Linked DNA regions of Mytilus edulis. The main gene of each other region encodes a partner of the protein of the gene in region 2 in a complex. Links are inferred from orthologs where the notes say so. Each region holds a gene or a part of one and is shown on either strand. Other genes may lie near its edges. The genes, in order: cyclin-dependent kinase 8-like, mediator of RNA polymerase II transcription subunit 4-like, mediator of RNA polymerase II transcription subunit 21-like and mediator of RNA polymerase II transcription subunit 31-B-like.

Evidence for each region.
Region 1: mediator of RNA polymerase II transcription subunit 4-like (region 2) and cyclin-dependent kinase 8-like share a complex: the UniProt entries of both Caenorhabditis elegans proteins name them as parts of the mediator complex. The link is inferred for Mytilus edulis from reciprocal best matches to the Caenorhabditis elegans genes mdt-4 and cdk-8.
Region 3: mediator of RNA polymerase II transcription subunit 4-like (region 2) and mediator of RNA polymerase II transcription subunit 21-like share a complex: the UniProt entries of both Caenorhabditis elegans proteins name them as parts of the mediator complex. The link is inferred for Mytilus edulis from reciprocal best matches to the Caenorhabditis elegans genes mdt-4 and mdt-21.
Region 4: mediator of RNA polymerase II transcription subunit 4-like (region 2) and mediator of RNA polymerase II transcription subunit 31-B-like share a complex: the UniProt entries of both Caenorhabditis elegans proteins name them as parts of the mediator complex. The link is inferred for Mytilus edulis from reciprocal best matches to the Caenorhabditis elegans genes mdt-4 and mdt-31.

What each region holds. Positions count from the first base shown.
Region 1 is NC_092353.1:33,985,312-33,992,746, forward strand, and holds the start of cyclin-dependent kinase 8-like, read left to right. Parts: upstream 1-4,432; 5' UTR 4,433-4,501; coding exon 4,502-4,635; intron 4,636-7,103; coding exon 7,104-7,179; intron 7,180-7,435. UniProt on the Caenorhabditis elegans protein: Component of the Mediator complex, a coactivator involved in regulated gene transcription of nearly all RNA polymerase II-dependent genes.
Region 2 is NC_092346.1:52,328,782-52,335,920, forward strand, and holds the start of mediator of RNA polymerase II transcription subunit 4-like, read right to left. Parts: upstream 3,026-7,139; 5' UTR 2,925-3,025; coding exon 2,857-2,924; intron 1-2,856. Other genes in the region: eukaryotic translation initiation factor 4E type 2-like, read left to right, coding at 3,052-3,071, 5,543-5,636, 6,046-6,168. UniProt on the Caenorhabditis elegans protein: Component of the Mediator complex, a coactivator involved in the regulated transcription of nearly all RNA polymerase II-dependent genes.
Region 3 is NC_092349.1:41,335,548-41,343,045, forward strand, and holds the start of mediator of RNA polymerase II transcription subunit 21-like, read left to right. Parts: upstream 1-4,481; 5' UTR 4,482-4,607; coding exon 4,608-4,649; intron 4,650-7,461; coding exon 7,462-7,498. UniProt on the Caenorhabditis elegans protein: Component of the Mediator complex, a coactivator involved in the regulated transcription of nearly all RNA polymerase II-dependent genes.
Region 4 is NC_092349.1:27,276,506-27,284,463, forward strand, and holds the start of mediator of RNA polymerase II transcription subunit 31-B-like, read left to right. Parts: upstream 1-4,955; 5' UTR 4,956-5,025; coding exon 5,026-5,059; intron 5,060-5,957; coding exon 5,958-6,032; intron 6,033-6,737; coding exon 6,738-6,834; intron 6,835-7,497; coding exon 7,498-7,693; 3' UTR 7,694-7,958. Other genes in the region: integrator complex subunit 2-like, read right to left, coding at 1-161, 556-686, 1,264-1,377, 2,510-2,612, 3,469-3,607, 4,578-4,864. UniProt on the Caenorhabditis elegans protein: Component of the Mediator complex, a coactivator involved in the regulated transcription of nearly all RNA polymerase II-dependent genes.

The DNA.
Region 1 (7,435 bases), on a different chromosome or scaffold from region 2:
TTTCAAACATTTAACAAACGAAGCTACACAATCATATCAATAAAAATTGGTGTAAATGATCTTTACTATGCCTAGAATAAAATGTGTGAATATGTTCCCTGTCGAATAGACTCGGGGGCGGATCCAGCCATTCTAAAAAGGGTGGGTTCCTAACCCAGGACAAACGGGGGGGGGGGGGGGGGTCCAATTACATGTCCCCATTCAAATGCATTGATCGTCCTAAAAAAAGGGGGGTTCCACCCCCCGGAACCCCCCCCCCCCCCTCTGGATCCGCGCCTGAGACTTTACAATAGTTACCGACCAGAGTTCAGAGTTTCAAATGACACTATGATTATCCTGAACATGCATGACACATTCGCCACCGGACGCAATAAATACGTCCATGCACCCAGATTCGACGAAAGAATCGGTTGGTAAGAAACCGTACGCATTTAGTTGTACTTATACCGAGTGTTTTCTATAAAAAAAAATAGCTCTATGTGTACAGTTCTTTTTTTCTAAATGCTATCTTATATATGCTTACAAGTTGTTTTTTTAAACTTTTCTATCATCTCAACAGCTGCTTTCATGTGTACCAGGCTACTTTTCCCCAACCTTCTTCTCGGAAGGCGGCCTACTTAACAGGACCTGCCCACTATATGTATGGTTGATTTGTAAACGTCCCAGCTGTACCTGCTTGAAATATTTGTCACTGAATGTTAAGTGTATTAGACAGTTGCCCATGGAAGGTGTTTGCCACATGCAAAACTGTTTGATATTGGTCAAACATTGCTATCTGATCATTGTGAACTTTTTTCAAACATTTAACAAACGAAGCTACACAATCATATCAATAAAAATTGGTGTAAATGATCTTTACTATGCCTAGAATAAAATGTGTGAATATGTTCCCTGTCGAATAGACTCGGGGGCGGATCCAGCCATTCTAAAAAGGGTGGGTTCCTAACCCAGGGCAAAGGGGGGGTCCAATTACATGTCCCCATTCAAATGCATTGATCGTCCTAAAAAAAAGGGGGGTTCCACCCCCCGGAACCCCCCCCCCCCCCCTCTGGATCCGCGCCTGAGACTTTACAATAGTTACCGACCAGAGTTCAGAGTTTCAAATGACACTATGATTATCCTGAACATGCATGACACATTCGCCACCGGACGCAATAAATACGTCCATGCACCCAGATTCGACGAAAGAATCGGTTGGTAAGAAACCGTACGCATTTAGTTGTACTAATACCGAGTGTTTTCTATAAAAAAAAAAATAGCTCTATGTGTACAGTTCTTTTTTTCTAAATGCTATCTTATATATGCTTACAAGTTGTTTTTTTAAACTTTTCTATCATCTCAACAGCTGCTTTCATGTGTACCAGGCTACTTTTCCCCAACCTTCTTCTCGGAAGGCGGCCTACTTAACAGGACCTGCCCACTATATGTATGGTTGATTTGTAAACGTCCCAGCTGTACCTGCTTGAAATATTTGTCACTGAATGTTAAGTGTATTAGACAGTTGCCCATGGAAGGTGTTTGCCACATGCAAAACTGTTTGATATTGGTCAAACATTGCTATCTGATCATTTGTTAGAGACCTGTTTTATCGGTATTTGCTTCAGTGATAAAATTGAGAATGGAAATGGGGAATGTGTCAAAGAGACAACAACCCGACCAAATAAAAAACAACAGTAGAGGGTCACCAACAGGTCTTCAATGTAGCGAGAAATTTCCGCACCCGGAGGCGTCCTTCAGCTGGCCCCTAAACAAATATATACTAGTCCAGTGATAATGAACGCCATACTAATTTCCAAATTGTACACAAGGAACTAAAATTAAAATAATACAAGACTAACAAAGGCCAGAGGCTCCTGGCTTGGGACAGGCGCAAAAATGCGGCGGGGTTAAACATGTTTGTGAGATCTCAACCCTCCCCCTATACCTCTAACCAATGTAGAAAAGTAAACGCATAACAATACGCACATTAAAAATCAGTTCAAGAGAAGTCCGAGTCTGATGTCAGAAGATGTAACCAAAGAAAATAAAAAAAATGACAATAATACATAAATAAAAACAGACTACTAGCAGTTAACTGACATGCCAGCTCCAGACTTCAATTAAACTGACTGAAAGATTATGATTTCATCATATGAACATCAGGCACAATCCTTCCCGTTAGGGGTTTAGTATCATACCATCATAACATATATGAGAAGAACATAACCCGTGTCATGCCAACAACTGTTTTTAGAATAAATGTGTTTAGTTCCGATGCAAAGACCTTATCAGTGACTCAATATTAACTCCAAAATATGCAATCTTTAATGACTTGACAACAGTATCGTAATTATATCCCTTCTTAATAAGTCTATTCAAAGGTTTTGTAAGTTTCTGAGGTTAATACTGACACCTTTGTGCTTTATAAAGAATATTTCCATAAAAAATTGGATGTGAAATACCTGAACGTATTAGAAGTCTGCATGTTGAGCTATATTTACGAATGATGTCTTTATACCGATGATAAAATTTAGTAAATGTTTTGACTAGTTTGTGATATCGAAAACCCTGGTGTAATAGTTTTTCAGTAATACATAAATTTCTCTCGTTAAAATCTAAAACATTGTTACATACACGAGCGAATCGTACAAGTTGAGATATATAAACACCGTAAGATGGTGACAAGGGAACGTCACCATCTAAAAACGGATAATTAACGATAGGAAATGAAAAATCATCCCTTCTATCATAAATTTTAGTATTCAGCTTTCCATTAGTGATATAGATATCAAGATGAATGACTGGGGTACTATGGATGGGATTATCCTCACTTTCTGTATCCTATTAATTGTTTGGTTATTTTTCTGTATTCTTTTCTTCAGTTTGCTCATTATTCTTTATTCTATATGGTTTTGCAACGGCAGGGTATGGGCTCGGGAACATGTTACTTCGTTGCTCATTATTCTTTATTCTATATGGTTTTGCAACGGCAGGGTATGGGCTCGGGAACATGTTACTTCGTTATGTGTGTATTTTAGTCTAGACGCCATGCATCTAATTAACTATCGAGTTGACCTCCGGAGACCTCAGACCGATATAAACATAATATAGATATAGATAGAAACTAGCTCGTGCATTTGTATTTTTCTAGGTCTCTTTAACTTAATATTGTACATTAAAAATATATGTTAATCATCGTTTTATATTTGTACGGTACCTGTATAAAAAGGATATTTTGTGGATCGAATCAGTCAACGTCAAATGGTCAGTTTACTTTTGTTTCACTTTCAACGTTGGCATTATTTTCCTTTAAATACTCAAAACGCACAATTTATGCGTTATCCATCTCTAGCTGAAGTTCACATAAATACGGATTCCGTGAATGAAGTCGAATTATTCCATGACTTTGGCAACGGCTGAGATAAACAAGATAATTATTCATCATCAATGTTTCTCAGCTTATTTTGACAAAATTGAAACATACTGGCCGCTAAAGGCGAATTATTATTTCACTATTAAAATGATTAATTGAACAAAAATAAATCATATTTTTTTTTTTATATATATCTCGTAGCTATAGTGTTCCTAACTCGAATAATTCAAGCCCTTTCCGTGTCCGATTTTCTCCCACACGAGGGCTTGAACTCTTTGTGATCATTGGCCGCGTCGCCTGCTCTCTGTGAGAGAGAGCCAATCAGCGGCGATCAGGATATGAGTCTGCGCAACTCTCTTGAAATTGCCTTACCACACACGTGTGTTCAATTAACACAAATCCGATAATAATTAATTAACATCAATTAACATCATTTATCATCAATTAACATCCGGAACTCCTCCTTCTTTAGCTGCCAATTTAAATAAAAATTCCCATATTGCAAAGCGGTGTGGATTTTCCGGTTGACGGTCTTGATCGAGGAAGACGTTCAGGCGTTAATGTAGCCTTCGTAGATCAGCGGAATATAACGACTGAATTATTCGGGTTATAGTGTTCCTTTAAATAAACTCATCATAGATACCAGGACTAAATTTAGTATATACGCCAGACGCGCGTTTCGTCTACAAAAGACTCATCAGTGACGCTCGAATCCAAAAAAGTTAAAAAAAAAAAAAAAAAAAAAAAAAAGGCCAAATATTATAAACATGATAAAGTACGAAGTTGAAGAGCATTGAGGACCGAAATTCATAAAAGTTTTGCCAAATACAGCTAAAGGTAATCTATGCCTGAGGTAGAAAAGCCTTAGTACAAAAATTCCAAAAATTGTAAACAGTAAATTTATAAATATAACCATATCAATGACAATTCATGTCAGCACAAAAAGTACTGACTACTGGGCTTGTGATACACTCGGAGAAATAAATCTCCACCAGCAGTGGCGTTGCCAGTGTTGAAAACCCGGAATAGTTGAGTGGTTCCGTGAATGTTCTGTAATTAGATCGTATTGATCATCAACACGCTTTTAACAACGGAATTTTATTTATTAAGCATCTTTAGGAAAATAAATATTTTGGAGCCGTCAAAGAAATGGATTTTGAATATAAGCAGAAAACCAATGCAGAAAGAGCAAAAGTCGAGGACCTTTTCGATTACGAAGGATGCAAAGTTGGACGAGGAACATATGGACATGTGTATAAAGGCAAAAGGAAGAACAGGTTAAAGTGTGTTTGAAGCATATGTCTCGCACACTAAATCGTCGATTTTATATTTTTTAAGAGTTATTTCTTTATTTCTTAGCAGTCTGCACGGTTAGCCACTAGTCCGATACCCCAGACTAGTAAAATTTTATTCGGACTAGTAAGTTTTGCAAAAATTTGTTTGGACCAACAAGAAAAATGTCAGGATATTGGTCTTCGGACTAGTAGTTGAAAAAGTTTTTGGTGCAGACTGTCTTAGTATTTCTTGCCATCACGCATTATAGACGTATAGATAAATTCATAATACGTGTCTTTTTTTGAAGAATGATAAGAATTCCTTATTGTTTTTCTATTTTTGTACAATTATTTGAGTATTGACTATATGTCAATGGCAATCTACATTTGTACAATGTCATGAATGTATATAAATTTAATGATTTGTTATGTTATATGTCTATGATCAGGTGTGGTACCTTCATGACAAATAACGGTAATAGTTCTTGACAAATGTTGTAAACTGTAAAATGATAATAAAATATATATATATGGACTTTCTTTTAGTCGATAAAAACATCGAAAGATTTTGACAAATCATTAATCACGTTAAATTTTTCCAAAAATAAAAGTAACATTTTATAATTATAAAAAGACCTCTGACAAATCAGGATAAGAGGATTTTGACAAATCACTGTAAAATTTCAATCACTTTGACACTAATTTACAGACAGTAAAGGGCATTTATTATTACCCTCATGACAGTCATCAGATTATATACAATATATTCAAAGATTTGTATAGTAAACTATACTAATCTTTGATGTAGCTGTAGAACCGTAGCTCTTTTAAATATAAAAAAAGAAGATGTGGTATGATTGCCAATGAAACAACTCTCCACAAGAGACCAAAATGACACAGAAATTACAGACTATACAGTCTTCAACAATGAACAAAGCCCATACCACATAGTCAGCTTTAAAAGACTCCGAAATAACAATGTAAAACAATTCAAATTTACAAATTGTAGACCATCCATCTTAAAATTGTTTAAAAATATCAAAAAGATATTAGAGAAGGTCGTAAAGGGGGTACATTTTTACCTTATTGGTGAATAACAGTAAAAAAAAATTGCCAAATGATGTCAACAGTAATGTTTGATGCATGACAATCAAAAATATGCTTTCTTTAAGACAATAAAAAAAAATGACTGATTTTGATAAATTACATTAAATTTAGATACTATCTTATTTACATGTAGGATCTTTGACGTATCATGATAGGGATGATTTGACAAATTATGGTAAAAGTTTATCAATTTGACAAATGATGGTAAACTTTTTACCAATTTGACAAATGATGGTAAAAGTTTATCAATTTGACAAATGATGGTAAAAGTTTATCAATTTGACTCTAAAGGTAGCTGAAAGTGACTGTTTGACACCTGACTTTAGAGGGCATTCCTACCCTCTTAAGATTACGGTTCCACATCTATGAGATAATTATTGTGAAATTGTTGTGTAGTTTGAGTACAGGGAACATTGTATTTATAATATACATTTGTACCTTAATGAAACAATTTTACAATAACTTCCCATTAGAGATTGTATGTACATGTACAAAAAAAATGTATATGAAACCGTACACCCTTAAAAATTACAATTTATCATTCAATTGAATGCAATGTGTTTTCAGGTCAACTTTCAATTACATGTTAATGTAATTTGATTAAATTTTACATTTGGAGAAATGTGTGTTTTTCCAAAATTGTTTCAATTAGGCCAACTCAATGTCGCCTCTCAGAAACTATTTATGATTATCAAATGATTATTGAATAAAACTTCACACACAAGATGACAGGTGTATCATGTGCTCGTGGAGCAGCTGTTTATTTTTTTCTTATCATAACTTCCAGTCTGTGCCAAACTGTTTTAGGGTTTGTCTGACTGAAAAAGAAATTTGAATTTTTCTTCTATATATATTCAACCAAAATCTCCAAAAAATTCTGTCTGACCGAATGATTTCTTGTCTGACATTTTGTTGGATAGACAGAGTTTGGGATACACTGAACTTCACATATTCAGCTAATTTTTAGCATGTATAAGTCTATTTATTCAACATGCAGAAATCTTATACATTCGGGTATATCATTTTAATTTTTTATGGTAATATTTTTTATAAAGCACAAAAATATCAGCATTCATCTCAAAAGCTTACCAAAAAATTAAATTTTTACAATTTCTAAAAATGACTTCTTGATTTTTTTGCGAACAGGCCCATATGTGTCATTCAAATACATCTAGTCTTTGCTACGTACTATACTATGAGTGAGAATGTTGTATGAGATTTTATTACATATTGAAGGATTTAAAAAAAACCACTAAATTTAATATCATTTGTGTGGTTGAGAGAAAAACTTCTGCAATGTTCATGTTTTTAGGTATAAATTTTGAAATAGCTTTTTCGGATCCAAAGTATTTCTCTGATTTGAATTTCAGCACTGATGGAAGAGAATATGCCTTAAAGCAGATAGAAGGTACAGGAATTTCTATGTCAGCATGTAGAGAAATAGCTGTAAGTATAATGCTAGTTTCCACTATATATCTACTGTACACAATCTATTAGGGAAGTTATTTCTTTCCTGAACTTCATAGCAGAATCTATAATGATCCAGAGGCGGATTAAGAGCAAGGCCATTCTTTTTATGGAAAAAACTTGGTGGATAATATAGGGAATCACTGAAGCATCAAAATCTATTCAAAAGAGAAAACTAACAGCCTGATATTTAATACAAAAATAAATGTTATTGACAATTATTGCAAAAATTAAG
Region 2 (7,139 bases):
AATTAATTAATTTAAGGTGGTACCTAACACTAAAGGGAGATAACTCTGTAAAATCAGCAGAACGTTTTAATGACGTTGCGTTCATATGGGAATATTAAGCTTCTCATTGATCAAAATAAGTGTTTGTCAAACTGCTATATAACCAGTGTAATTTTTCTGATTAAACGGTTGGTTCAAATTTTTTGAATTTCTTATATTTTTGTCAAAGGGTCAAAGTAAACACTTTGTCAAAATTTAAAGAAAATTAAACGAGCCAAATTAATTTTAGTTAAAGTGTTAGGTACCTCCTTAAATGAAACAGTTAAAGTTATTATTTATAAATGATCAAATTGTTCATCCAATAATAACAATATTGTAATGTTTTTAATTTAAAACTTTCTTAAATCTTTTAAATTATTGGTTAATTGGTACGCTCAGTGACAGCTTTAATGTTTTTATGACAACTAATGACAGTTAATAAAAAGTAATTATGGTACGTGTAAAGTGATTAAGTTGATTAATGACACATGACCTATGGCACACGACCTAAAAATAATTATTTTCTACTTTTTTCTCACTTTAACATGCCAATGCATAACCCTCCTCCTTTTTCACCCAGACTTGGGACCGGCGTTGACGGAGTTAAAGTTTTTATTTGATTTTTTTATAACTCTTATTTTACTCTATTCCTTTTACTTTCTCTCAGAGACATCACTATGTTGTTCTTTGATTGCATGTTATACTGGCATAAAGCCTTATTTTTCATCTGAAAAACCCTGGTATAAACATGAAACAAGTCTTAGTTGACCAGAGCAGCAGCAGCAGTTGGTCCATATACAAAAAACAAGAAACATGAAAGAAACAACTTATGATAGAAAAAAAAATATTAATATAAGAAAGTCGGCAACATAAAGATGAGTGGTGTAAGTATTGGAGACATCAAAGCACGTGGCAGAAGACTAAATACTTTGACAAAGACGGGGTACATCTAAATGATGGACAATTTAAATTCTTCTGTTCTATCGCATGTGTGCAAAACTGTAATTGTAAAGTGTAAAATTATGTGCAATCAATTATTTAATAAATAAATATAGATATATATGTACATCAATAGGTCTTTTCATTATTTTTTTAGTAACCTACGACTCATATTATTATATATTTGTAGGACTCTAAAGTGCGATGGTACTCTAAAGTACGATGGTCACGCTAAAGTGCGATGGTCTACGCTAAAGTGCATTGGTGTCAGACGCTAAAGTGCAATGGTTGTTTGTTTTTAAATGAGATCAGATGACATGCTAAAGTGCGATGGTATGCCACGCTAAAGTGCGATGGTGTAACTGGAATGGTGTTCAGGCAATGTCTTTTGTTTTTTGCGGTGTTAATATTAGTTTTTGTATATTGTTTATAAATTATGCCGTTGTTTTTCTCTTTTGAATTGTTGTACACGAGTTATTGTGTGGTTTATATAACTAGCTATTCGACTAGAGCCGATACTCCACGCCTTGGATCATAAGTTATTAAGTGCGCACATCTGCAACATTTTGTGTTTGGTGAATAATTGTTTCATTGGCATCTTCTTATTTGTTTTTTTGTTTGTTAATTGATTTTTTTCTGTATAAATCAGTCCGTTATTTTTCTCATATCAATTATTTTGCAATGGTCGTTCTGAAAACCTTTAGTCATAAATCTACTATTTATCTGCTGGGTTAGCCATACGATTCCAGTTTAGATCTAGACTTGTGTCATCGGCAATCATATGATGATACTTCATAACTGCTTGGTATGTCACTATCTTGTTGATGAATATCCATCTCTTTCACAGACATGACAATACATATTGTACAAAAATATTCAGGTTATAGAATAACTCAATTAGAAATTTAAAAAGTAGCTTTTATTCCAAGCAAGTTCGATTATAAACATAGAAGGAGTTTCTAAATTAAATTTGAACGAATTGAAATACTTTGACACTTGGTGTATTTTGACTTTTTCTCTCTTTTACGGTAAGCACCTTCCCCTTACTGTCATCAGTTTTCTATGTTGATGGGAAAACACAGCGAGTTGAAAGGTTTTGTACGGTGGGTGATTTTGTTGGAAAAAAATCCTCTGCATACAGTCTTCTATATCACCTACTAAAAGTGTTTTGTTTCATTTATATCTCTTTTTTTTTGTCTTGTAAAAAACCTTCATAGGGAGCCACAAATATTCTTGTTTACCGGCATGTCAATTTTTGTATGTTCAAATTGGCTTCAAGCGTCATAATGCAAACATTCACACTTTCGCGAACAAACACGCATTCATGGAAAAATGCACTTTATCGTGTCATGGCATCGCACTTTAGCGTACACCATCGTACTTTAGCGTGACCATCGCACTTAAGCGTCCCCATCGCACTTTAGAGTCCTACATATTGATATAACAGTTTTCTTAGGTTACAAAACATCACAGGTACTAAACAACCTAGTAAGTTAGGAATCGACTAGTTACGAAACCGTCAAAGAAAAAAAATATAATAGCCTTTCAAGACGTCATAATTATTAGGACTACAAAACGACCTGCATCCTTCACAACATCTGATTAGTAAATAAAATAATTAAATGTCTACAGTATGTGGTAAAATCAAGGATTTATATAATAAAGATCAGCAATATCCTTGTTAAAATTGGTAACCCTTTCACTTTTTCCCCTCCACTTTTATTGTTTTAATATAATTAGTGCAGACAGAAAAGACAATAACAGTCATGGCAGTTTTCCAGGTTTCACAAGTTGGGTAGGAAAAAAAACTAAAGTTGTCATTTTTATATGGTCTAGACCATGCATTTCATTTGGTGTTTCAAATATGTGAAATGACAGTAATACTATTAGTGAAATTACTTAGATATCAACTCAACATCATCAATTTGTTGTAAAAGTTTTTGTTTGGTGCTGATGGAGGAAGCCATGCTGAATTATTCGACCAATAAATTATGCTGATAGAGTAGGAAACATTTATGAACCAATCGAATACACTTTCACATACAAGAAAAGGAAACCGGAAGTGAATGTCAATAAAATCAAAACAAACTCATCATGAACAACAAATTTGATGCGTACGTAAAACATGCATACATTCATAATTGACCAATTATATTTAAAGATCTTTAAGTAAATCGCATGACACCTAGCCAATCCATTGACACATTTTTCCGTAGGGTCAATTTTTGTTCGGCAAAAGGCATAATTTTGACGTCATCAATTTGCCCAAACACGTGCAACTTATGAATAGTCACCAAGTCCAAGATGAACAGGTTACATTTATTAGCGAAACTAATGAAAACTGCAATTATTATTTTTCTTTAAGGTATCATAAAATCCGACCATGGTACTTTTGTTTCTTCGTGTGTATAATTTAAAAAAAAAAAGTCAACTTTGAATCAAAAATATGTGTCAACAGCTGTTTAGACCAGACCTAGACTTTACAGTATCCTGATAAGCTAGCACTGTACATTTACATTACTGTTACAATGAATGAAATTGTAGGACAGCCTTTCAAGCTGAGATAAATCCAGTGCTTTGTCAGACATGTACAATGTACAACAAGCCCAAGTTTGTCGAAGTAAGGCGTCAAATAAAAATAATATAATAGCCTTTCAAGACGTCATAATTATTTGGACTAAAGTTTTGCATGATACATTGTGTCATTAATTATGCCTGTGTCACCATAAAGTGCATTTCAGAATTAATGTTGTGTGTTTCATGTCGCGATGAATATTTTAGAAAACATTTTAAAAATTTTGAGATGTCATATCTGTCACTATGACATTGTATGACAACACATCGTTTGTATTCAATTTCAGATGAATTATACATATATAATATGCTATAAGTATAATTATTCAAGTAGTACAAGTTTGAAATAATTCTTTTGTTTATAGCTTGAAAACTTTCTTTGTCATACATGTATATACAAATGAAGCATACATAGAGTGGGGTGCTCGTTTTCGCCGGGGACACAATTTCGCCGTTTAATGATTTTGAGGTGTAAAAACTTCAAAGGATGGCTGAAATGGAAGAAATGTACCCGTAAATTATATTTTTATAACAAATATAATATTTTTTTAAACTGAGACAAAATTGCGGCTCCTACCGAAAATGACCGAAAAACGGACAACGATTTTCGGACAATTTATATTTCCTGAATAAAACACGATTTCAAAGAAGTATTTCTAAGTAAATATTTGACTGAATGCCCTAATTTTGAATTCTTTATACCTTTGAAATGTCTGCTGTTCATCTATAATGCAATTGATTTGATAAAAATTGTTAAAAGCTGCGGTTATTTGGTTTTAAATAGATGTGTAAAAACGGCGAATATGTGTCCCCCATTGACAAAACATCCGGAAATTTCAAACACCCTTTAATCTAACTTTTCAGATGATTTTTTAAAAACAAACCGGTTTTCAACATGTTCAAGCTTAAGTTTATTTTGCATTTGAAGTTATCTGCATATAGAAATATCAGTATACTTCAAAAACATTTAGACCTGAACATAAACTGTAGAAAACATGGAAAGATGTGGCGAAAATGAGCACCCCACTCTATATGTCTTTAGAACATGTAGAATGGTCTGTCGACAAAGGACATCTATAGATAACATATTTCCCTAGTGCAGCAAAAGTGTTAATGAAATAAATTTAACTTATCTAAATAATTTAGAGATGCGGAGTAGATAGCAATTAGACCGCAACCTAGCGACAAAAATAATCAACACCTAGAGATCTCTGTACAGTGATCAACCATAGCATTAATAGCCCAATGCCAAGTTTTTATTTTTTAAGCTGTGAATAAATTTATAAAAAGAAACTATCAAAGATATGCCATCAAAACAAATTGTTATAATATATACGAGACTTATAATGGTTTACTTTTTTTTAATTGTTATTTGGATGGAGAGTTGTCTCATTGGCACTCACACCACATGTACATCTTCCTATATCTACTAAGAAAAAAAACACAAATATTTTACATAGGACAATCACATTCTCAATTATGGGCTTTAACATTGATATGTGGTGAGTCAATCTTGTATTTTTTGGAATAACACCAGTTAATGGATCTTACATTTTTGTCAGTGGGTGAATACACCTTATCGCTTATCCCGGCTGACCCGGCCGCTTGAACTTTTGACGCATACAACAATCACTTTTCCATTGTGGCGTCAGATATTTTGTTTTTGTGACGTCAAAAATTTACGGGAACCTGTGTGATATCCAGTAATGGCGGACAAATAGCGATAAGGTGTATAATTACACTAACAATTTCAACTCCAACTTACTACATGTATCATTATAAAGAGGCTGAGCATGTCAAGTACAAATGTATAAAGGATGAGTGTAGATATATATATCAACAGCAGGCTTATTTATTTCTGAATGCACTTTTGTCAATTTTGTTACAGTCTTTTGTTGAGATGTATTGTAGTTATGCCATATTTGTGTTTAGAAACTGATTTTGAAATACATAGTAAAAGTATGATACATGAGTGGTGGCTTTCCATTTTGACTTAATTTGTTTATTGTAGATTAAAACAAGAGGATAGCGGTGAGGATGATCAAACAGAACAGAAAAATGAACAAGAAGAAACAGATTCTCCATTTAAAGTTCGACCTTCACCAGTAAGTCTTCAAAAGATAGTTTATGACAACGATTGGAATGTTACCATGGTTACATTTTGACAATTTGATAAAATTTATATTTTATAAAGAGAGACAAATCAGATTATGGTCTCTTCTTAAAAAAAAATGTCCAGCTAAACAACATTAGTAAATTGTTTTAAACAAACAAACAAAAACTCAATTGAACAGAAAGAAATTTTTTGACTTTTTTTTTTAAATGATTTGTGTCATAATTTTTTTTTTATCCAGTTTCAGTACATTTTATTAAGTATATGTATGCATAGTTGATGTAAGATGAATAGTTGTGATATTTATAATTTGAATTTGAATGGGAAACTCTGTCAGACTGGTTTAATCAAAATAACAGCATACATGTATATATATCTATGAATGATGGATTTTCTTTCAGAGACCAGGGCCTGGAGAACACCCATTACAGTTTAACTACGCAATATGGTTTTCTCGGAAATCGCAAGGAAAATCTTCTGCAAGTTATGATCAGAATTTAAAGTTAGTTGGGACATTTGCATCAGTAAGTTAACATCTTTAAAACAATGCAGCACTATTTTACTGCTATTATTGTAGGTATTGGCGTATAAAATAATCATTACCATATTAATAGAAATACCTAGATTTATTTTCAGCAGTATGAAAATAAGGACATCAGTGTTTTCCTTTTTTCACTAAGGTAAGGTGGGTGTTTTAAAAAAATAACTTGCAACCGGGTGGGTTTTTTTTTAAATGTCCAACCTTTTTTAATTTACTGTGGGTGCACGTGGGGGTCACAGAAATAAAGATTAGTATAATATTCACATTTTATGGAGTTGAACAAACATAAATAGAGGTAGTCATATAAATGTCCAATATTCTTTGATTTTATTTTTTCAAAAATTTATCTCTTTTATCTCTTCTTTCATTTACAATTTTATGCATCAGCATGGATTTAAGGCCTTTCGATCCAGGTTTCTGTTCTGTTTCTTGCTTTTGTGCCGTATTTTTGGCACAAAGAACAGTAGTATCCTTCCTCTGTGACTATAAGTCATTTGAAGTCTTGCTCATATTTGTCTTCACTTGCGTGTCTTTTCCGTTGTTTGGTTGATTTTTTTTCAATTTCCACAACTTCAACGTTACTATCAATTTTATTTAACTTATTTGGTCTAGTATTTTCTTTATCATCATCGTCATCTTCCTTTCTTTTCCCCCCGATTGATTAATGAAAACATTGAAATTTGACGATTGGACGCCATCTTTGTCAATGAAAACAAGGCGGGATTAGTTTTCAAATTTTAACGGTACGGAACCGAAAAAAATCCGGATTTTGAAAAAAAAGCCGACCACCTCCTAAAATTGAAAGGTGGTCGGCTTTCAAAAGAAGGTGGTTGGCACACCCTGCTTAAATGCCGAATGGAAAACACTGGACATGTGGTAATTGCCTATGAGACAACAATCAACCAGGGAACAAAGGATGAGTTTGTAAATAACTATAGGTCACCATATCCTGTA
Region 3 (7,498 bases), on a different chromosome or scaffold from region 2:
AAAAAAAATTAAAAATAAAAATAATGAAAAAATATAGGGTAGGAGGTCGAAAAAAAATTAAAAATAAAAATTGGAATTAATACTGGTTTTTTTTACCAAAAAAGGAGAGAAACAAACAATGACATTACTCTATATAATAGTATTATACTAACCATGTATGCAGATCGTTTCATAATTTGGTATTAATTCTTGCTGTTAAAGTGTTTTAATTTAAATTAAATGTGTTACAAGGAGTCCAATGTCAATGTAGTTGCGGAACCGTAGCTCTTAGGTCCTTATGTTATTTTTTGACTATTTGCGGACCATAGAGCTACGGATTTTTCCTATTTCAAAACGTTCGGAATTGCGACCCAGGTTCAGGTCGCACTTATTTCTCAAAAAAATATTGTTTATATATAATCCATGCAAAACTTGTCAATATATATAGTTCGATTCGTTAGATATTTTTCTAGGATATGACGTACCTATTTATGTTTGAATATTCATTTCCTTAACACTATTATCTAATTATTTCCATTTGTATACATTCTCCGCCTATTTTATTCGACCATATTGAATCTCGTTGTAAAAATATCTAACGAAACGAACTATACATATATTGACAAGTTTTGCATGGATTATAAACAATATTTTTTGGAGAAAAAAGTGGGACCTGAACCTGGGTCGCAATTCCGAACGTTTTGAAATAGGAAAAATCCGTAGCTCTATGGTCCGCAAATAGTCAAAAAATAACATAAGGACCTAAGAGCTACAGTTCCGCAGCTAATGTCAATGTAGATTGATGAAAGCAGATATATATATATATGTCCCTGATGAAAGGGAAGCGTCTTTTCCAATTGCATTTCTCTTTGTTCTGTGTATTTATTTATCAAATTTAGATCAGGGAGTGACAAAATTCCTCATAACACAATACAATCTTATTGAGGAAATACCATATGTGCTCTGCATGTCATATGCCTTCATATGTGGTACATGTACATGAAAACATGTCCTTTTAAGGCTTTTTATGCTATTTTACACTGTTTAATAAGTATTAGCTTATATTTCGAAGTATCCTGTGATTGTCCCTTTTCATAAATGTCGAAGTGATTTTAATTGTCAGGCATTCTATGACAGTAATACATGTTCTCATTTTGTGTTGGGATCTTGTTCACCATATCCCACCTCTGTTCCATTAAATCTCAATGGGTACCGTGGGAGGGTATTTAGGTATTTATATAATAAGGCCAATTAATCAGACACCCATCCCTGGCAGCAAGTTAAAAGATCCTTCCCTTTAGTGATGTCTGGCAAGGCTATATAAAAACAAATCTGGGATGCCATGAAGCCTTGCCAGACGTCATAATTATTTGGACTAGTACCTCATATGTGTAATGGAACTAAAACAGCCCCTTTCAATAGGTTTCAGACTTTCTGATCAACACTTGAACCAAAGTTGACCCACCGTCAACCTCACTGACTGTCTGAAACAGGGGTTCAAATTAGCGGTGGTCCAATTAAACCAAAATTCCCTAACGATCTCAAAAATAATTATCATTTTTATTATTCATGACTGCGATGTTCATTTTGTTCAACCGCTAGATTTACACCGAAAATATCCAACAATTAATGTGTAAGTATTTGTAAAATCGTATCTGGTCCTCCGTTTTCAACTGGTTCCTTTTCACCTCATTAGATCATGATGAAACGTTGACTGAACAGGGAACCGCCTTTCAACTGGTTCCTTTTCACCACATTAGATCATGATGAAACGTTGACTGAACAGGGAACCGCAAGGGATTTTCGAATCCACTCCGAGGGTATTCCGACTGGAAGAAGAAAGACTGATCTTTCTTATCATGTTTTATTTTTATTTGTACTTCTTCAAACAGAAAAGGGTCGGCGGAATTACAAAAAAATCTTCAAAATCGTTTTTATTTTTATTTTGATATTGTGAAAAACAGGGTTGGCGGATCCGTAAAACAACAAATAAAAAAAAAGTGGCCTTATGTAGGGTTGATGATTTTATTGGTAAGATGCATGTTTGTAAAAACTATCATGCAAATTTTGCATCTTAAGCATCTGACATTCCTTGTGGCAGCAAGTGTCACCCATGGCAAGTGTACCAAAATAGGGATTTATATAGACAATTAAATAAATACTTAATTTCAATCAATTAAATGTTCGCTTATTCACTTTATTCATTTAATTGTAATAATATTTATTTGTTAAAAGTCAATAAAAGATTAGTTCGCCTAAAATAAACCCATACTAATCCAAATGCATTTATGATCCAGCTCTTACTGGACCGTACAATTGCAGTCCAAATACTTGTATGATCTGGAACATAAATAAAGTATATTTGCTATTCACTAACAACTTCCAAGTTTCTTCTCCACGGCAATCACTTTTATATTATAATGAGAGCCTCTATCAACACAAAAATTATTGTCCTGTCCTAGAGTATTCTTATGAAAATTATATTCAAGGTGAAAACCGGAAGCTCGAGTCTTGTATGACTTTAAAGTTGGTCTGATGACAGAAATAATGTCCAGATATCTTTATATTCGTTTTTCTCCCAAAATAAACCTAACTAGATAATCATAAGAATAGATGACAAATGCGACTATACTTGGTACATTTACCTAAAGAACACATGATGATTAATTTATTCATTATTGTAGAAGGAAGAGAAAGGGCACTCGAAAAACTACACCATTATTAGGCACAATTTTTTTCTTATCAAGACGAAAGGTTCAACTATTTACATTATTGATAAAAAAGTGGGGTTCATTATTTAAATTTATCTGCCATTTTTTCTATTTAACAAGTCTGAAGTCTATAGACCCTTCGCATAAATTTTAAAAAGACGTTTGTTTTTTTTTCTTAAAAATCTTTTTTTTTTTTTCAAGTAAATAAATTTTTTTGTCGTTAATTTTTTTCTTCTTGTTGCTAATTACTAATTAGCGAGACCGCAAATTAGTCAATACGAAGATGAATATTTTTTTCATGCTTGAATTTTGAAGAAAAAAAATAAATGCAAACACTTTGTCCCCTTTCCCTGCTAACACATATTTCAGACTAACGAAAAACAGGCCAAATCAGTTTATAGACTTGCACGTGTTTCAATGCCAAAGGATGAAATATTTTACAACCACGTGGTCAACCAAAAATGATATGGTAAAACTTTTCAGAAGAGCTGTGGTGTTTTTGAATTGCTAAAATGTGTAGAATTTTTAGTTTTCTCATGACCTAAATGTTTTTCAGTTTGTTAAGAAGAAATATTCATGTATACTTTTAAGTCTTTCAGACACGAAACTGTGAACAACTTCTTTGATCAAGTAAAATGGTTGAAAGGAAGAGCTTTGGTTTCTGGGTAATAAAGAAAGCTTGGTACAACTAAAATCCAATGCTGAATACATTAGTTAATAGAGAAGGAACGTACATTTTTATGCTCGGTTTTTTTTTAAGTAAGTAATTAGACCAGTGTATGTAAAGTGCGGATACTAAAATACCATTTTCACTGTCTATGCCATGCATTTCTGATGTAGAATGGTATATAAATAGACGAAAACATTATGATTTTTGAAGAAAATGAAGAAAATTGTTCACATGTACTATATTTAGTAATAAAACTTAAGAATAAGTTACACGAAACCCCACCAAAACTGGGGGGTGATCTTAGGTGCTCCGGAAGGGTAAGCAGATCCTGCTGTATATGTGGCACCCGTCGTGTTGATTAGGTAGCAATACACAGTTAGGAGTTTAGTTTCGCATTTTGGCCCCTGTGAATTTTTCAAATAGGAAAGTTATTGTGTAATAAAATTCATTTTTAGACAGATGAGTGCTAATTTAGCCTTCAAAGATGGTTTATAAGACCATCAAGATTATTTTTTACATGTTTTATGGGCTGTTTTCTGTTTGACAATCCGTATTTTCATAGCTAGACCGGCCATCGGTCCAGAAATTAATGTACTGTTTACAAACACTGTTTTTCTACACGAAGTTTTTGACGCAATTTTACAAAAAAATGAGACGAAAGACATATGATTTTCATTGGATTTGCTGAATGATATATGTACACAGTTTCAGAAAAGGTACTACTTCAAGTGATTGAAATTCTACTTTTAGCCAAATTTTGGGGAAATATGTGACATCTTTCCCCCCCTTTTTGCAATATTTTATAACAAATAAATGCAGATTGTTGCCATGGATACACCAAAAAGAAAATATATTTTACCATTTTATATACTGGATATATAATCTATGGAAGGTTCTGATTACATACATATGCCCATATATGACACAAACAGTAAGCTTGATATTGCAAGAAAGCAATGAAAAGGGGATGGTAAAATTCATAAGGGCAAATTTTAGTATTTTTTCCTAACTGTTTATTGCTACCTTATGTTATTACAAGCCCGGTGAATAGTCTACTATTCTGTATAAAGTGTAAATAACGTTAATTGTTGTACAATGTTGTATGAAGATATTTGTTGGTTATTACTCAGCCCTTTGTAAAAGGTCAAGGTTTAAACTGCTATTGCTAGAAATTTTGACACTTTTGTATCCAGTTAACACAAATAATGCTTATATAGGATTTATACTAAACTTGTGGCAGATTTGAAATGGCAGACAGACTGACACAGCTACAGGATGCTGTAAATCAAGTAAAACGAAACAGATAATTTTAGTTTAACGTTAATGTTCATTCACATGGGATAGTAAACCCGGCAAATAGTAACACCGGTGGTTCATCATGAAGAATACCTTTTTGTATCAAATGATTAATCGTGTTGGTATAAACATATTAATATGAAAGTATTATCCTATAGGTAGAAGAAAATAAGACGTGCTTCAAATGCAAAGATTACCATATGTACATGTAATGTATGCTACTCGCTTGAGATGGAAAATTATCGCTAGAAACTAAGCATGCACGTGGCTTTGCTAATGAAATTGACATGAAATTGACAACGTCGTCATAGGTAAAATAGCGATAAAAAGTTTATCGTTGACCGATTATCTATAATTATAGCTTAATTAACGTTAAAACAATTTTCCACTAAAAATGAATGTTACTTTATTCAAATATAAGGACTTTGTTAGCTAAACCTACTAATTTTATTAGATATTATGATTTTTTAAGACAATAGATAAACATGCTATCATATGTATTTGTACATTGTACAAACGTCAAAAGAATTTGAACTAGGTATGCCTTTTATTTGGAAATTGTTACGTCACATTGCAATTTTAATAGCACAAAGACTCATAAGACTAGGATGCACCAACTGGTTATCAGCTTTGTTAGAGTCTATCAAAATGTACCTCTGTCATATTTGTTTTTCGTAAACTGTTTTATTGTAAATTAAGCTATTATTCTTCTCAATTGATTTGCTTCATATTTTTCAAGTCAGGACCTTTTGTAGACGACCACACAGTATGGGTTTTTATACGACCGCAAAAATTTTAATTTTTCGTCGTATATTGCTATCACGTTGGCGTCGTCGTCTTGCATCGTCGTCTTCGTCCGAATACTTTTAGTTTTCACACTCTAACTTTTGTAAAAGTGAATAGAAATCTATGAAATTTTAACACAAGGTTTATTACCACAAAAGGAAGGTTGGGATTGATTTTGAAAGTTTTGGTCCCAATATTTTAGGAATTAGGGGCCAAAAAGGGCCCAAATAAGCATTTTCTTGGTTTTCGCACTATAACTTTAGTTTACGTAAATTGAAATCTATGAAATTTTGACACAAGGTTTATGACCACAAAATGAAGGTTGGGATTGATCCCAACAGTTTAGGAATTAGGGGCCAAAAAAGGGCCCAAATAAGCATTATTCTTGGTTTTCGTACAATAACTTTAGTATAAGTAAATAGAAATCAATGAAATTTAAACACAAGTTTTATGAACACAAAAGGAAGGTTGGGATTGATTTTGGGAGTTTTGGTCCCAACAGTTTAGGAATTAGGGGCCAAAAAGGGGGCCAAATAAGCATTATTCTTGGTTTTCGCACCATAACTTTAGTATAAGTAAATAGAAATCTATGAAATTTAAACACAAGGTTTGTGACCATAAAAGGAAGGTTGGGTTTCATTTTTGGAGGTTTGATCCTAACAGTTTAGGAATTAAGGGGCCCAAAGGGTCCAAAATTGAACTTTGTTTGATTTCATCAAAAATTGAATAATTGGGGTTCTTTGATATGCCGAATCTAACTGTGTATGTAGATTCTTAATTTTTGGTCCCGTTTTCAAATTGGTCTTCATTAAGGTCCAAAGGGTCCAAAATTGAATTCTTGAGCTTTTTTGATATGCGGAATCTAAACATGTACTTAGATTTTTAATTATAGTTTTCAAGTTGGTTCAAATCAGGATCCAAAACTATTATATGAAGTATTGTGCAATAGCAAGAAATTTTCAATTGCACAGTATTCAGCAATAGCAAGAAATCTTCAATTGCACAGTTTTGCGCAATAGCAAGAAATCTTCAATTGCACAGTATTGTCAATTTGTGCAATAGCAAATATTTTCAATTGCACAGTATTGCGCAATAGCAAGAAATATCTAATTGCACAATATTGTGCAATAGCAAGAAATTTTCAATTGATTGGAGTTATCTTTCTTTGTCCAGAATAGTAGTTGAATCAACTTAAATCATTGTTTTATACAATATACAATGTATATTCACTTTTACTACCAACTGATAAATTAAAACAATCTTTACCATTCAGTGATAACAAGCACTTTATTTTACATTTTAATATTTTATGATGTATTTAAATGAGTAGTTATTGTTGCAAACTTCATTAGGAATTTGAATTGAGATCAGTTTTGGAAAAAGGGAAAGGGGGATGTGAAAAAAAAATTGGGGGGGGGGGGGGGGTAAATTTTTCTCATTTCAGATTTCATAAATAAAAAGAAAATTTCTTCAAACATTTTTTTGAGAGGATTAATATTCAACAGCATAGTGAATTGCTCAAAGGCAAAAAAAATATTTTAAGTTCATTAGACCACATTCATTCTGTGTCAGAAACCTATGCTGTGTCAACTATTTAATCACAATCCAAATTAAGAGCTGAATCCAGCTTAAATGTTGTGTCCATACTTGCCCCAACTGTTCAGGGTTCAACCTCTGCGGTCGTATATAGCTGCGCCCTGCGGAGCATCTGGTTCTCATTGTTGACGGCTGTAGGTTGCCTATAATTGCTTACATCCACTTCATTTGACTTTCTTAATAATTAAATGGAAAAATCGATTGTAGGTGCCCTTATGTGAATAACATTTGCCAGATTTTTATCAAAATTATATCAAATGTTAAAATATTTGTGAAAAGTTTGAATAAACAAAAGTGTTGTTTTTTTCAGATAAAATATCTGCAACTCAGTGGAAATTGGAACTCTGTTTTTTTTCTTTGTATTAGATATAAAAAAAAATTCTAAATTTGCATTAAATATTTATGAAAATTTTCTATTTGCAGATGGCTGATCATTTTTGCAACAGTGTAGGAATTTTAC
Region 4 (7,958 bases), on a different chromosome or scaffold from region 2:
AACCAGCTTCGAACATTCAAATTGTTGCTTAGCAACAACCCACACACAAAAGCAATAACATCAGCTGTTTTATCTTTGATATCCATGGCAACACCGTGATAATCTTTACTTGTCAACAATGTTAAGGCCACAGCTAAACCAGGCATTGTGCAATGTTCAACCTGAATTAAAAAAATATCACTGAGCTTCAGTAAGAGGTTATCTCAAAATGTGAACTGAGATTTAGTAGGAGGTTATCTCAAAATGTAAAGAAAGCTTTAGTAAGAGGTTATCTCAAAATGTATTCAGAGCTTTAGTAGAAGGTTATCTCAAAATATGAACAGAGCTTAATTAAGGGGTTATCTCAAAATATATCTAGATAATCTCTATCCAACATGTCCTTTTTGTCAACAGTAAAAAAAAAATCTATTTTTTATGATTTTGCTTGACACAATTTTCATGCTTCATGGTCAACTGTTTAAATCATCAATATGTAAGCAATTTTTACAGTAGACCTTATACAAGATACAATCAAACACTCAATATATCCTTAGTATAGACAGACAGATAACCTACACAAAGAGCCCTTATGTTTAACATTTCTCCAGGATTCATGGTACACAGATTCAACAAGACTTCCATTCTCCTTCTTCCACTCATTGATTCTTCGTCTTGTGTTTCTCCATTGGCCACCAGACTGGTACATACTACAAGAAAGGAATGGTAGAAATTGCTAATCGCACAAATGTCAATTAATGTTAAAAGATGTTTTAATTTTATTTGTTAACCACATTTTTGTATTTCTAAGTGTTATAATATACACTTAATTCTAAACATCATTTAATATTGATTGTCGTTTGAAACTCAGTGCTGTTCATATAGTGAATCTAAAAATATTTTCTTAGCTAAGAATTTTTTTTATCTAAAATTAGTTCTATGCTTTCAAAATCAATCTTTAAATAAATGAATAATTACAACAGTAAATGCATAAGACTTCTCCAACTCAAATTAAATCAAATGACTTGCGTCGGAAAGAATTTGATCTTATGCAAATGAATATCAATTCATCTGTTTACATATTTCAGGTTGAAAAAGTTTCTATGCAAATTATTATATCTGTAAAGGTTTAAAAATTGATTTGATATAAGAACCCCACAAAACAAACATTAATTCTATCTTTTATTTCATATTTCAATTTTCCAAAATCAATAAAAGTTTCATACAGGTACATGTTTACATGCAATTGCATAAGGTAGATTTCTGCCTGAGCAGCTTCAAATGTACCTTCTTTAAAGCTGTCTGGAGAGTTAGCCACCAGACGACACAACAACCAGCCTCCATTTGGTAAGTGTAACAATGTCTCAGCTACGTCTTTTATTTGAAGTAATGTAGGAAGCTCTACAAATATACAAAAAATTATTCTCTATTATCATTCTTATTTTGGTATTTGCAGTTCTTCAACAAGCAATGTACCTGCATTTGCTAAAAACAAGATATAAATCTATACTTCACTTGGAGTTGGATATTTTTGTGATTTTACTTTTTGTTACTTTTTTTTTTACATTTCATCTCATTATTTCTAATATGTAACACTTCTGTACTCGTACTCTGAAAAACAATTTATTACTGCTTACAACTATTCTATGTTTCATTTAATGTCATTTTGTCCCAGGTAAGGGTTGACTTATTGACATCTTCTTTATTACTAACTGTAAAGTCTGTGTTATACAGGGACCTATGTTTTAATATTGTATTTTTATTGTGTGAGGGTGTGTCAAAGATCAAACTAATTTGTTCAGTAAAATTGAGAATGGAAATGGTGAATGTGCCGAAGAGACAACAACCCGACCAGAGGGGAAACAACAGCTGAAGGTCACCAACAGGTCTTCAATGCAACCAGAAATTCTCGCACCCGGAGGCTTCCTTCAGCTGGCCCCTAAACAAATATATACTGGTTCAGTTCAGTGTATGCTTACTTGTTTTTGTTTAAATGTCTTTTTGATCAATTAAAGTCATTTCAATTGAATATTTTATAGCGTCCTTTTATGTTGTAATGTTACAAAATTGTCTCAGACAAGGGTGAAGGTTGGCACCAGTTTAAACATTTAAACATATTGCATTTTCAAGCACCTGTTTTTAGTCAGGAGTCTGTTGTTCAGTGGTTGTTGTGTGCCGTTGTGTTTCAAAGGTGTTTCTCCTTTCTCTTTTTAATATAAATCATAGTTGGTTTTCCTGTTTAAATTGTTTTACACTGGTCATTTTGGGGCCCTTAAATCTAAAATTTGCTGTTCAGAGTGAGCTAAGGTTCTGTATTTAAGGCTGTACTAAGACCTTAAATTGTACTTTTTAAACATTATGTCTTGGAAGGAGAGTTGTCTCATTTGCACTCATACCACATCTTCTTATCTCTATTACATAGATATAAAAAGAATTGGTATGAGTGCCAATAAGACAACTCTCCTTCCAAGTCACAATTTATAAAAGTAAGCCATAAGGTCAAAGTATGGTTTACAACGTTAATGTATATTACCTGCTTGTGCTATACACAATACATCAGATACTTCTTCAAGGTAAACAATGCTCTCCAGTAATTCTGATGACTTGAAATAAAATTCTGCCTTGTTTTCTTTCATCTGAAGCAATATAATATTGACATTGTAATAAAAGTATAATTTTTTTCATTATAAACGCTGGTTGCCAAACACAATAACATAGATCATGTAGATCTACTCTCATCATCATTTTTGAAGCAGAAACTAAACAAATCTGGTTTATATAGAAACTGCATTGTATTTCTTTATAAAACATAATTTAATTTTGGATGTAACGTGTCTTCTGATTGGCTGACGTTATTTTGTTATCAGCCCATAGACATAATTTAGTCATGTGATTGTGACGTCATCAACGTTTTTTCATGGTTTTCTACAGTTTAAAATGGAATTTAGAATTAAATTATAAGAAATGACTGTAATATTTTTTCTGTCTATTCGAAATAACCTAAAAAATGTGGTGCACACTGTTAAATAACCTGCTACGCGCGTTATTCAGTGTGTACCACATTTTTTATGTTATTTCTTCATAGACAGAAAAAATATTACAGTCATTCCTTAAATGTTAAAAATTGACAGTCTTCAACCCTCACTCAACAGTATATACTGGTATACTGCATATTCTTTATTATTCATTAAATACCATTTTTTGTGGATTTCGTGGGTACAGTTGAACTATGAAATTAAATTTTGTAAGAATGATAAATGTTCTTTATGCTTGTATGCAGACTTCGACAATACCATGAATTTTTAAAAACATCCACAAGTTTTCGTTAATGCATGAAAATTGATACCTCCCTCTGATTCTCATACATAATGTTGTTACTTAATTAAAACTTTTGATGTCTTTAATGAAGTTGAATATTCACAATAGAATAACATTGAAAATTCAATGTTGATTGTTTAACATGCTCAATTTACAAATGATAAGATAATTAACCTGTGATGCTACAAAGAGAAGTTCACTTAATAGCAGACGAATTCTACGAGCATGGTCACTTCTTTCAAACTCCATAGCAAGCCCACACTGTAACTGAGATATCAGGACACTGTCAGTCTGTGATGTACCAATCTTTGTCCTGCAAGGAATAAGGTAAAAAATTTAAGATTATTATCAAGGAAAAAAACAAATATGTCATCACTTCTGAAGGTATGGAGAGTTAATCTGGAAAACAATTTGCTCATCAATACTTACATGTACAATAACTCTTTTATCATGTTTATTGTGGGGACAAAAACTCCAATTGCAGCAGGAAAATCAATAATAAAAAAACATCAATGTACCTATGAACTCAAAATCATGAACTTTTTATTTTCCCGCATTTGTGCAGAAATGTCTTTCTTTCTTCTGGTCTCAATATTGTCATGAGACTGAATAAAATATACATGTATGTTAATTCATTTATTGTTATTGAGGAACATGAGGAAGGAGCAGAATAACAATTTTGTTTTTATTAATTCTTTGTATACAATGAAAATGAAGTCATAACTTAAATGATGCACAACTAAAATCCCTAACAGGGTTCTCGCTAAGGATTTTTGAAGGCGAGTCCAGGGACTCGTCATTTTTGGCCATGGTGAGTCCAACAGCAAGAAGAATATATTTTATTGCAATATAATGTAATATTTTATCCTCCATGGCCTAACAGAGCAATGAAATGACATTAAATTCAGATTACTTTTAAAACTTTTGCTATAAAATGATGATCATGATGATATTTGTGTTTTACTGTGTTCAATTTATACAAAATATTTCAATATTGATGCATCTTTGGACTCACTAGTTTTGAGAATGGTGAGTCCAAACAGATTTTGATGAGTCTAGGACTCATGGACTCGCTTTAGCGAGAACCCTGCCTAACAACAGGACCAACATAGGAAACTGTAAGATATTTTCGTTTCTTTTTGAACAGATTTTTAAATATGTTTGAAATAAAAAAAAATGATTAACTTTATCCTCTTTCACGGGTAATGCCTGCCTCATATTATTGCAACGTGATTGTAGCCAGTGCCTTACTCAGTAACTCACTACTGTTTTTAGGGGTGTACCTGAGCTGTTGTTCTTTTTTAACGTCTTGTTCTAAAGCATGGAAATCAATAGATAGCAATGCCACAATGCCATTCACAACTTCTATCCCAGATAAGATTTTTAAGACTTCTTTTTTAGCTTTTGTCCAGTTGGAGCTCTCATCAAGTGGTTTACACAAAGCCATTCTAACAAGACATGGAAGAACTGGACGCAAATCAAATTCCTTCGAATCACTCAGTGAAGAGATGTCAACATCTCGTACTGCTCTGAAGATTTCGGGTTTAACACTACACTTTAGATTCTGCATTGTTATTGCTAAACCTAAAAAAATGTAAAGGATTTACAAAAATTTTAAAAGTCAAAATTTTTTCATGGGGGCAGCCATTTTGCTTTCTCAACGTCAGTCTGACGCTTTGTTGTAATTGCGTTTCTTACAAGCGCGAAGAAGACATAGATCATATTTTTGTTATGGCTGCAGCTGCAAGACAGAATTCCTCCCATGGTAAAATAAGTGCTAATGTTGCTCTAGATAACAACAGACCCCAAAATAAATAGTTCCCCTCTAACCTTATAGTTCTGTCATGCATATTGTTGTTCATAAATACTTATCAATGCCAGAACAATATGAAAAGCAGTTTGAAGTGGATACAAAGCTTTTCACAACTCAAACAGCAAAAATACATTAATTCATTCAATAAATATATTTTATGACCCTGCCATAAGGTGGCTAAGGCTGTATAGTTCTACCCTTATCTGCCATTTGGTCATTCTACTACAAACAGTTATACACATACATGGGTCCAGCCTTTCTCCTAAACACCAAATAATTGGTCAGATCATATGTTATTGTATTCATATATGAGGGTGGTAATGGGGATACCTTCATGACGAATAACGATAAAATTCTAGCCAAATTTAAACGTAAAAGGTAATTTTAGATGCATGACGATATTAAAATGTATACTTTCTTTTAGGGGATAAAAAAATCGACTGATTTTGACGAATCACGTTAAATTTTTCTCAAAAATGACGGTAAGGATAATCATTTGACACCATTGACGAATCACGGTTCACCATAAGGATATTTTGACGATTCACTGTAAAATTTTAACCAATTTGACGCTAACGGTAGCTGGAATTGAACATTTGACGCCTGATGGTAAAGGCCATTACTACCCTTATATGTAGTTTTTCTTACAAGGAGAGACAAGATGGAATAGAACGTAAATTATAGCAAGATCAGCTGAGCAAGATGTTTCCAGAAAGAAATTTTTTTATAAATGGGGTCATGAGGATTGACATGATTGAATTTACAAAGAATGGAAATCATCTTTTGGGGAAAACACTGAATATCATTAAGAATGCTGTATCTTTTAAATAAAAAATAATTTCTTTTTCAGAAGCAGATGAAAGAGTGAGATTTCAGACAGAGTTAGAATTTGTACAATGTTTGGCTAATCCGAATTACCTTAATTGTGAGTATACAATGACAGTAAAAAACCAATTCTAATTGAGAATGTGTCTTTGGGACAGATGATGCCCCATACTTGCATATAACATTGTAAAGTGACATACATCCACAACTGTTAAAGTGACAACACCTATATTCTTAAGTTAGAGAACGGAAACAAACTTAGGTATGTATCGATGAGCAAGGGCAACACTGAATGTCAAATGTAAAACCTTTTTAGGTTGGATGACATCTACTGTTAATATTAATTTGTAACTGTTAATATTCTATGTTAGATGCTCAGTCATTTGCAACAAAACTGCCCAGATGACAATAATTAGATATCTCAAAAGTTTATTTTTAACATGAAGATATATTTTTTTATATTACATGAAGGAATACACACTGACGATTTGCCACTGATTTAAATACATGTAATACAAGCTTGGCTACAATTTGAAAAAAGTTTGTTTGCATAGCAAAAGAACTTTTGTCCTGCAATGTACGTGCCACCAAAACTGGCAAAGACCCCTTAAAGAGTCATGAGAGTTGTTACAAGAATTCTTTAATTTTCAGTTATTATTTTCTCTCCCAATATGAGCCATGTAATTTTTTTATCATTGATTTATTAAGATTGCAATTGCATATTTTATCCTTGTTATGTGTTGTGTGAACAGTTTTAAGTTAACAGAGCTGTAAAAATATACTGTTCAATTTTATTTTTTTATAGTTTTAGCACAGAGAGGATTCTTCAAAGATCAGACATTTATCAACTACCTTAAATACCTGCAATACTGGAAAGAACCTAAATATGCTAAATACCTCAAGTAAGTTTGTACAAAAATGTACAATAGTGAATTTTTGTAGGAATCTTGTTATACTGTAGATTCATTTATTTTTGTGTATTCCAATTTTTGTGGATTTTTATGTGTTCCAATTTTTGTGGATTTTTTTATGTGTTCCAATTTTTGTGGATTAAGAAAATCTTGCATTTTCGTGGCTATTTGATATCGTGATTTTGCCAATACAATGTACATCCTTATACATGTTATAGAAAATCTGTAATTCTTTGAACATTTATACTTGTGGTTTATCTGTACCCACGAAATCTTCAAAAATTAGTACCCCACAAAAAAACAATATATCCACAGTAGTAGATATTTTACGAAAAAAAAAATAATTATAAATTCAACAGAAAAAAATTGTTCTCATTATGACCTGACATTTACTTGCTCAATGCAGGATATGAATGAGATTTTCATTTCCAGAAGTTGACAGATATGCCTTGTACAGTACACACAAGGAGTTGCAAATTCTTTATGACGTTATGTTAAATGTTCATGTTACAAGTTGACAAATAAACACTGTATGAGTTATGATACACCAAGCAATATCTGCTTTAAAGATTAAGACTTTCCCATTGTATAACTAGTTTGTAATTATCTCTTGCAATATTTAATTTGTTTTCATTATTTTTATTTCATTTTCAGATATCCCCAATGTTTACATTTATTGGAGCTGCTACAATATGAACACTTTAGAAAAGAATTAGTGAATTCACAATGTGCTAAGTTTATAGACGATCAGCAACTCTTACATTGGCAGCATTATCAGAGGAAACGCATGAAGTTATTGATCGATGAAGCGGAACGACACAAACAAGATCAAAAAGATAAAACTAGCTGACACAGCAATAATAAATGTGTTGATTTAAAATTAATCGGTCAGAGATATTCTCTGAATTGTAATGGCAGCTATGTGGATGGTCAAAATTATTGTCATCTCTTAAACATCCAAAACGAACATTTTTATGTGTAAAATTTTTCCGAGGTTGATACTTGTCATAGACGTAACATGTACATGATGTATTTAGCAGGAAATTTTTTCATCTCTGTTCATAGTTTTTAGGCAGTTTTATAAACTGTATAAAATAAAGAGATGTTGTATAGAG